Linked DNA regions of Oryctolagus cuniculus. The protein of the gene in region 1 binds, or shares a complex with, the protein of each later gene. Links are inferred from orthologs where the notes say so. Each region holds a gene or a part of one and is shown on either strand. Other genes may lie near its edges.

Region 1 (4,157 bases):
TGCCTGCTAGTCTCCTGCCCTCACCCCTACTACCGGGAAGCTCTCCCGGTTAGCCCTTTGTTTTTGTGGGAGCCTTGGCCCTGCGAATCAATCCACACGTGTTTTTTCTGCCTTGCACTTATGTCCTTTCTCCATCTCCTCCCCTTTGCAAAGCTGAGGGAAAAGGGATTTCAGGGGAGCCCACTGGGTCAAACACACTGGGAGAGGATTAATTAGTCAAAGAGTAATTAACAGGAGAAGGGAGGGGATGGAGCCAGGGACAGACCGCCAAATTAAGACTCCCCAATAGGAAGTGCTAGACAGTCGTGATCTTGGGAAGAATTCAAATGTTTTGGATGGACAAATGGATGAACCAGGAAAAGGTGCTGGGACCCAAGTGCCCATACAGGAAAGATGGCTGTGTTCGCAGCCCAGTGACCCGCAGAGGGCTTCCGTGGAAGATGGAGGCGAAGTGAGGACTGCTGATGGGCAAGAGAGCTCGACAAACTCCCACTTAGCCCAGGCTCTGGAAGGCTCACAGACCAACCAGCCCCTGCTTGGTAGCCATTGAAACCTTCACCTCTCCAGCCTCTTCGTTCGGATCTTGAAGTTTTCCTTACTGGTGTCCCAGCTGCCCTTGTAGCCAGGGCCCAAGCGTCGCAAGTATCCGAAGTGGAATGGGCACTGACATACTTCCATCTTGCCCTGACTCATGTGAACTCATCTTCAGGTCGGAACTCTTACATGACCACCAGAGTTGAGAACAGAACTTAGGGTGCAAGGAGTGGCAAATAGGGTAATAAAATGCTTACAGATTTTAGACAATTTCTCACAGACAAGATGCTCAATCTCTTTACTCCCATGTCCTCAAAGAGCTGGGAGATAAAGAAGTTGGAGCCAATAAGATAAGAAATCTACCTGTGTCTAGGTGTCTGTAGGCAGAGGCTATTTGGGAAAGGCTGTGTTCAGGGCGGTGATGAGCGCTAAGAAGGTGGTGTCTGGGGAAAAGAAAGCACAAGGCCCCCGAGTGAGTTACAAGGTTGGCAGGAGGCCAGAAGTCAATCTCGTGTATAGCAGTGGCCTGGGATGTTGGTGATGGTTATGGTGATCCCTCTACCTATTCATCTGAGGACAAAGGACACACATATCACATAGCACACACACACACACACACACACGCATCCACATATCACAGATTTGTAAACTCAACGCTGAAAAGAACCTTCAAGATCAAAGCCGATATTCCTGCCTCCTGCTCATCAATAACTTCTCTGCCTGACAGCACCCAGTCTATTGTAACACTCCCAGAGAGGGCTGGAAGCAGCCCGGACCGGGAAGAGAGGCAAGCACTACCTTGCCACAATTCCTGTTGGATTACTCTATTAACCTGCCTTCCACCCCTCTTCTAATTCCAGTCTGCCCTCAGATGGGCATTGTCTACTCCCTATAGGACCACATTTTATATACAGCCTTACCACTACTCCTAAGAGCCAGTGACGCAGACACCAAAACAAAACCCCACACACACACTGCAAGCAAGCGCTCAATGCAATTTTGTTGAATGAATGAGTGAAACAAAGACACAAATCCGATTGTTTTCCCACGGCCGCGGAGCCGTAAGGTGACAGCCCCACCTGCCACCGCCGACGCCCCTGCCCCCACCTCCCGCCAGCGTGGAGAGGCTGCGAGGCCAGCAGCCGGCCAGGAGCTCGGGTGCTCTGCCCTCAGCGTGGAGTCGGGAGCCGGGTGGCCCAGGTTGCCATGGCACCGCCTCGGACTCCACCCTCTCCCGTTCCCCCTCTCCCACCCCACCTCCCTGGCGCTGAGGTTATGGCAGCCAGTCACGTGCCCCGCCGCGTAACCACACCTCTGCTCCTCAGAGCAATGTCAAGCGGTCACGTGTGATAGCAACAGGTCACGTGGCTGGCATCCCCCCTCCGCCCCCTTTCCCCTCAGGGCCCCCCTCCCCGTCCAAGCCCAGCTCGGCCGCCCCTCTGCGCATGGGTGGCGGTCACGTGTCCCGAACGTCCGGCGCCCGCCCCGCCCTCCCAGTTTCCGCGCGCCTCTTTGGCAGCTGGTCACATGGTGAGGGTGGGGGTGAGGGGGCCTCTCTAGCCTGCGGCCTATGTCTATGGTCGGGCCCGGAGCGTCCAGGTGCCCAGGACCGAGCTCGGGTGTATGGCGCTGGAGGAACCAGCTCCGGGGCCCCGATAACGGGCCGCCCCTGCACCTCCCAGCCTGGAGTGAGGTAAGTGCAGCCCCTGCCCCCACTGGGGGCCAGTCCCGCCGCCGCCCCCTCCCCCCACAGCCGCTTCCCATGCGTGCGCTTCGCAGGCGATTTATGGGAGGGTCGCCCGCGGGCGAGAAGTGGGGCTTTTGTGGACGTGGGAAGGTGTAATTTCGGGGACCGGGGTGCGGGATCCTCGGCGCCAGGCGTGTGTATGTGTGTGATCTCCTTTGTGCTGGATGCGATGTTCCCAAAGGAAAGGGGGCTTTTACAAAGTGTGCGGCCTCACGTGGCTGGAGGGGTCGCTGTTGGAGTCATTGTTACCTGAGGCGCGGCGCGGCGGGCGGTCGCGGAGGGCGCGGGGTGCAGGTGGGGCCGTCTGTGCCATCCGTGTCGGAATCACTTTGTCCGCTGCCAGCTCAGGCCATCCCAGCTCTGGGAGAGCATGTGGTGCAGGGAATCTCTGTGTTCCTAGGGTCAACCCTGATCTGAGAATGGCTACCTCTCGCTACGAGCCTGTAGCTGAAATTGGTGTCGGTGCCTACGGGACGGTGTACAAGGCCCGGGACCCCCACAGTGGCCACTTTGTGGCCCTCAAGAGCGTGCGAGTCCCCAATGGAGGAGGCGCTGGAGGGGGCCTTCCCATCAGCACTGTTCGCGAGGTGGCTTTACTCAGGCGGCTGGAGGCCTTTGAGCACCCCAATGTTGTCCGGTGAGAGGAAGGTGCAGGGCCCGGAGTGGGCAGTCCAGGCAGGGGGGCTGTGGTGGTCAGGAGAGAGGTGGGGATCCTGGGGAGGTACACGATGAGGAGGCCATAGGGGAGTCAGAGGATCCTAGCTAGCGAGGGACCATTTGTTCTGGCCAGGCTGATGGACGTCTGTGCCACCTCCCGAACCGACCGGGAAATCAAGGTGACCCTGGTGTTTGAGCACGTCGACCAAGACCTAAGGACGTATCTGGACAAGGCACCCCCACCAGGCCTGCCGGCAGAGACCATCAAGGTAAAGGGCGGGGGCGGACACGGGGAGGTGGGTTGGGACCTTCTAGCAGAAGCCCTGGGCATTTCAGGCCTAATGCCTGGTTTCTTGTGTGTCTGTTTTTTTTCCCTTGCAAATCAGGATCTGATGCGCCAGTTTCTTAGAGGCCTGGATTTCCTTCATGCCAATTGCATCGTCCACCGAGACCTGAAGCCAGAGAATATTCTGGTGACGAGCAGCGGGACGGTCAAGCTGGCTGACTTCGGCCTGGCTAGAATCTACAGCTACCAGATGGCGCTTACACCTGTGGTCAGTAGAAAGATGTGGTAGCCAAAAATGGGCTCTGGTTGGGGGTAGGAGAAGGATTGCCCATAGCAGCTGAGAAATCATACTTTGTCCTTCCATCAGGCACTGGTGCTTCCCGGAAGCCCTGGGGGCCCTCACCTACTCTCGCTGTTTCCCTTAGGTTGTGACGCTCTGGTACCGTGCTCCTGAGGTTCTTCTGCAGTCTACATATGCCACGCCTGTGGACATGTGGAGCGCTGGCTGTATCTTTGCAGAAATGTTTCGTCGAAAGTATGGGACCCAAGTTCCCTGCACAACCTGAGTCCCCCGCCTTGTGCAGGAGCCACATGCATGCCTTGGCCATTTTTGTACTTGGGTGCTGTTCACCATCTTGCCCGTAACCAGCTCTGAGACGGAATCAGAGACTTCACATGCCTTTATTCCCCACACCCTCTAAGTCCCACTAAGCAGGACTCATGCCACCGCTGTCTCTGAAAGTGACTGCCACCTTGTATTCCTTCTCGCTCTAGGCCTCTCTTCTGTGGAAACTCCGAAGCCGACCAGCTGGGCAAAATCTTTGAGTAAGTGACCAGCCAGGGGGCAGAGAATTTTCCATTCTGAGTCCTCTCTCTGCTGAACTCGGAGTTAACCCACTGGCTCTGCCTGGGGACGGGAGCTGGAGAAGGACC
Region 2 (4,157 bases), on another chromosome or scaffold:
CCTGGCCCTGGACACCGGCTCCACCTTCAGAGTGGCCAGAAACTACCAGATTCATCACAAAGAGCTGTGGGGCCTCCCGGACTCCCAACTCCGGCCTCCTGCTCCCATCTCTCAGAGCTACTTGGCAGGAAGAGGAATCCAGTTCCTCGACTCGCAGCAGTCGGGGGCCCCAGTACCCTTGCTGCCCCGCCAGCCAATCACAGCAGCCTACTGGCTGCCCTCCTCCCCGGGAGATGGGGCCCAGAGACTCCTCTCAGGGTCAGGAGAAGACTTGGCTGGCCACGGAGCAAGGTGCCAGCTCCCCCCACCCGCTCCCCCAGCCCCTTAGGAGATGATCCGTGGGCCCTAAAATAACCTCTTCCAGATCCAAACAGCTCCCCCGCCTCCTCCCCAGGCCAAGCAGAACCGATGACCAGTGGAGGGGCCCGGGGAGCCACTTCCCAACCCACAGGAGTGACAGCAACTCCCCACTGGGTTATGAAAGACCTTGGTCAGAGGGCCGGGCCGGGGGAGGGGGCATCGTTATCACATGGGAAGCAGCTGCAGCTCAGCTCCCTGCCTGGGCAAGGGCCTTTGGCTAAGGGGGAAAGGCAGAGAGATGTGTCCACCAGGCCCAAAGCAGCTGCTCCAGTTCCTCAGCACGAGGACAAGGAAGGGAGGATTAGGGCAGGCACTGTCTCCCTGGGGACGCGAGGGGAAGGAAAGAAGGTGGGAGGAACACCTCCTCAGAGCGGCCAGGGCCTGGCTTTAATCTGCTCCGGGAGGCTTTTCTATCACAAAGTCCACAGGAGGAGGAAAAAAAAAAAAAAAAAAAAAAGCTCACCGCAGGCAGCCCCCTCCCCCACAGGAGCACATTCCACACCCCCAGTCCAGTGGGGGTGTGCAGGCATGCCCTGTGCTGCCAATAAATAACTCATGGTGACTGTGTAAACCCAGAGGCGAAGAACTAGTGAGTGCAGACACGCAGCTTCACTTGTTGCTATCTGGGGGAAAGACCAGGAAGCAGTGGCACCCCCTGGAGGCCAGGGCAGAAGCCACCCTGACCACCACACCACACTGCCCCATCTGCAGTTCCACCCCGGTTCCTTTCCCGAAAAGCATCCATATGCCTTAACCCCTTCCCTCCCCAGGGCAGGGCTGAAAGCCTCTGGAGTCTTGGCTTTCCTTTCCCTGGGAAGTGGGGAGACAGCCTGTGCGGGGGTGGGGGTGGGGGGCGCAGGGGCAGCTGCACACGCACCCGCAACTGGCGGGGAGACACAGCGTGGTCGGTGTAGATGCACAGTTTTTCGATGGTCAGGGGCGTGGTCTCGCGCAGCTTGGAGGCCAGCAGCATGCAGACCGCACCCAGGAGCTGCAGCTGCGCCTTTCGGGTGGGGACGCAGGACAGGTAGCGATCCAGGTAGTTCATGGCCAGGGGGAAGACTTCCTCCTCACAGCGCTGCTCCTCGCACACCTGGGGGAGCACGAACTGTCACGGACGGGGCAGGAGCATGGGAAACGAGGCGGCAGGAAGAGGGTGGGGTGGGGTGGGGGCGCCGAAGGGAAGTGGAATGGGGCGCACGGCCACGAGAGAGGGTAAGCGGCTTACAGTGACAAGGACCAGTAACGAGAGGATGCACCCTCCCCACGGCGACGCCGCCCCCCCCCCCCCGCCCGTTTCCTCTGAGTCGCCTCCTCCCCTCTGCCCTGGAGGGGGTGGCAAAGCAAAGGCGCCCTTCCTTGGGAGGAATCCCAAACAGTGATTCCCCTCCCCCACAGCGAGGCGAAGGGGCAGGAAGGGTCGCCCGTGGCTGCCAGAGGAGAGCCTTGCCCCCGGCGACCACCACCCACCGCACACACCCAAGGGGAAGGAAGGAGGCTCCAGCCGCCGTCTCCCACAGTCTCCTTCCCCGTCGGGCCGGAACGGGCGCGCCACCCCACCCCCAGCCAGCACCCCGCGACACACGCAGGAACCGAGAAGACCGGGCGGGGTGGGGGTTGGGGGGAGCAGGGGCCGTGGAGGGGACGGCCGGCTCGAGCAGAGGCTGGGCCAGGGTGCCCATAACCGGCCGTGCCGGTCGGAAGGAACATATCAGGGTCAGGGAGGGGACGGGGACACAGCGGAGACAGCCGGAAAGGCCAGGCCCCGAGGGTCGCGGCCGCCGAAGCATCTTGCAGAGCGGCGTGGGGCCCTAGATGTTCCGACAGGGCGGCCCCCGCAGGTCCAGCGGTGGGGGGCAGCGAGGGTGGGGTGGGGGGCGTCCGGGCGGTACCTCCAGCATCCAGTACGCCAGCATCTTCCGCATGTGCGGCTTGATCTCCCTCTGCACGCACTGGAAGTAGGAGGCGCGGGGCACGTAGCGCTCCTCCAGGCGGAGCAAACTCTGCAGGACACGCTGGTCCCCCAGCAGTCGCGGGTCCGGCCCGGCCCGGGGCGCGTGCCGGGTGCCCTCGCAGCACAGCAACTCCATTCTCAAAGACAGCGCACGGGCAAGGGCAGGAGCGCGAAGTCGCGAGCGGGGACGCGGGCGGCGGACCGCAGAGCGTGGCGCACGGGTCTGGCGCTGGCGCTGGCGCTGGCACTGCGCGGTGCAGCCCCGGCCCGCCCGCCGCCCGCGCGCGCGCCGCTTCCCTGACAGGCGCCCCGCCCCTCGCGACGATGTAGCAACCGTGGAATGCTCGGACGTCGCAACGTTCCAAGGGGCGGGGCCGCCGGCGCCCCAGACGGAAAGGGCTGGCGGGGCGCTCTCCCCGCCCCCGGCGCGGCCCCATTGGCCCGCGCGGCGCAGGCCGGCCGGCTTCCGGGCCCGGGCGCTCCCGACCGCCCGGCCGAGTGAACTTTCTGGGAGGTGGGCCTCTTTCCCCGTCAATGGGCCTTTCCATTTTGCTTCTCGGATTGCAGTCACCCAGGAAGCGACTTCTTTGCAAAGGTTAATCATTCAGTCATTCGTCAAACAGCTTCAACAGCCGCTTGCTCCACGGAATGTAATCATAGTTTTTAATGAATGCTGTTTGAAGCATTCATGTGAAATAACGTATTCAATCTTTTTTTTTTTTTAACTCTCTTTGAAAAGCAGTTACAGAAAGAGGGGGAGACCGGGGGTGGGGAGATCTTCCACCCGCTGGTTTACTCCCCCAAATGGCCGCAAAAAGCTGAGGCTGGGCCAGGCCAAGCCACGAGCCTGTAACTCCGTTTTTGGTCTCCCACGTGGGTTGCAGGGGCCATAGTCCGCAGCATTCCCAGGCCATTAGCAGGGAGCTGGATGGGGAGTGGAGCAGCCTCCTATGGAATGCTGGGGTCGCAGGCGGCGGCCCCAGTAACTTAGAAAGCCTTTGCTAAAACACCATCAGATAGGTATTAGGCTTATTTTATAAATTTGAGGAAAAGGAGGCACAGGAACCGCAACATCAGGCAGACAGTCCCAGGCCCTCCGGCTCCGGAATCCGGCACTGCGGGGCCGGCACCATCAGCACCCCCTCCACACCCCCACCCCCACCCCGGGGGTAGGGGGGAGGCTGGGCCGGTGAGAAGCGCAGTTTCTCAGGCCCACCACCGGCCAGCCACGTCCGAATCTGCATTTTAACTGCATTCCTGTGCACTTGGAAGTCTGAAAAGCTTCGGTCTAACCAGCTTAATACAGAAATGCAACAGGGCAGAAAGGCCATGGATTCAAGGCCTCACCTTGTCATTAAATTGATTGTGTGGCCTTAGTTTCTGCTTGGAGCAAACATGGGGGTGGGGGCTGGCTCCTGCCTCAAGGAGTTGACCACGCAGGCTGCAAGCTCTCCCCGCTGCCACTTCTCTCACCTCCCAGACGCTGGGTCGCTGTGCAGTGTTCTCAGAGGCTGGATTCCATATGACTAAGAGGCAGACCACAGACTTACAGAAATGTTCCGGACGGGAGGACGCATGGGGATCCCTTCCTCCCTTGGGGTCCTCCCAACTTAGGAGATACCAAGGACGTGGGTAACTAGAGAAATGACAGTGTATAGACAAGTCACATGTTCTCTCTGAGAATCGGTCTCTTTATTAGAAAAAAATTCTTGTAGCTTTCATATCATGGAAATATTCTTTTGCATTATGGAAACTTAGAAAACAGAGATGAGCCACAAAAAGGGGAAAATCATAATCACTGTTCACTTTCAATTTCATCATCCAGATATAATTCTTTAAAATG

The links. Proteins that work in one complex are often made in the same cells at the same time.
Region 2: the proteins of CDK4 (region 1) and CCND3 are in contact, whole or in part, in a crystal structure (PDB 7SJ3), measured with the Homo sapiens proteins. The link is inferred for Oryctolagus cuniculus from reciprocal best matches to the Homo sapiens genes CDK4 and CCND3. Residues at the interface, in NP_000066.1 of Homo sapiens: Gly46, Gly47, Gly48, Leu49, Ile51, Thr53, Val54, Arg55, Val57, Ala58, Leu59, Arg61, Arg62, Glu64, Ala65, Phe66, Val77, Ala79, Val89, Asp129, His132, Ala133, Asn134, Cys135, Arg163, Ile164, Tyr165, Ser166, Tyr167, Gln168; in NP_001751.1 of Homo sapiens: His11, Pro13, Arg14, Ala15, Gly16, Pro17, Asp18, Arg20, Leu21, Arg26, Val27, Ser30, Leu31, Arg33, Leu34, Arg37, Tyr38, Glu74, Lys112, Leu113, Arg114, Glu115, Thr116, Pro118, Ile121, Glu122, Pro134, Arg138, Glu141, Val142.

What each region holds. Positions count from the first base shown.
Region 1 is NC_091442.1:60,322,326-60,326,482, reverse strand, and holds the start of CDK4 (cyclin-dependent kinase 4), read left to right. Parts: upstream 1-1,974; 5' UTR 1,975-1,979; coding exon 1,980-2,227; intron 2,228-2,681; coding exon 2,682-2,918; intron 2,919-3,071; coding exon 3,072-3,207; intron 3,208-3,324; coding exon 3,325-3,492; intron 3,493-3,649; coding exon 3,650-3,759; intron 3,760-3,998; coding exon 3,999-4,049; intron 4,050-4,157.
Region 2 is NC_091436.1:127,963,232-127,967,388, reverse strand, and holds the start of CCND3 (G1/S-specific cyclin-D3), read right to left. Parts: upstream 2,613-4,157; 5' UTR 2,451-2,612; coding exon 2,253-2,450; intron 1,454-2,252; coding exon 1,238-1,453; intron 1-1,237. UniProt on the Homo sapiens protein: Regulatory component of the cyclin D3-CDK4 (DC) complex that phosphorylates and inhibits members of the retinoblastoma (RB) protein family including RB1 and regulates the cell-cycle during G(1)/S transition.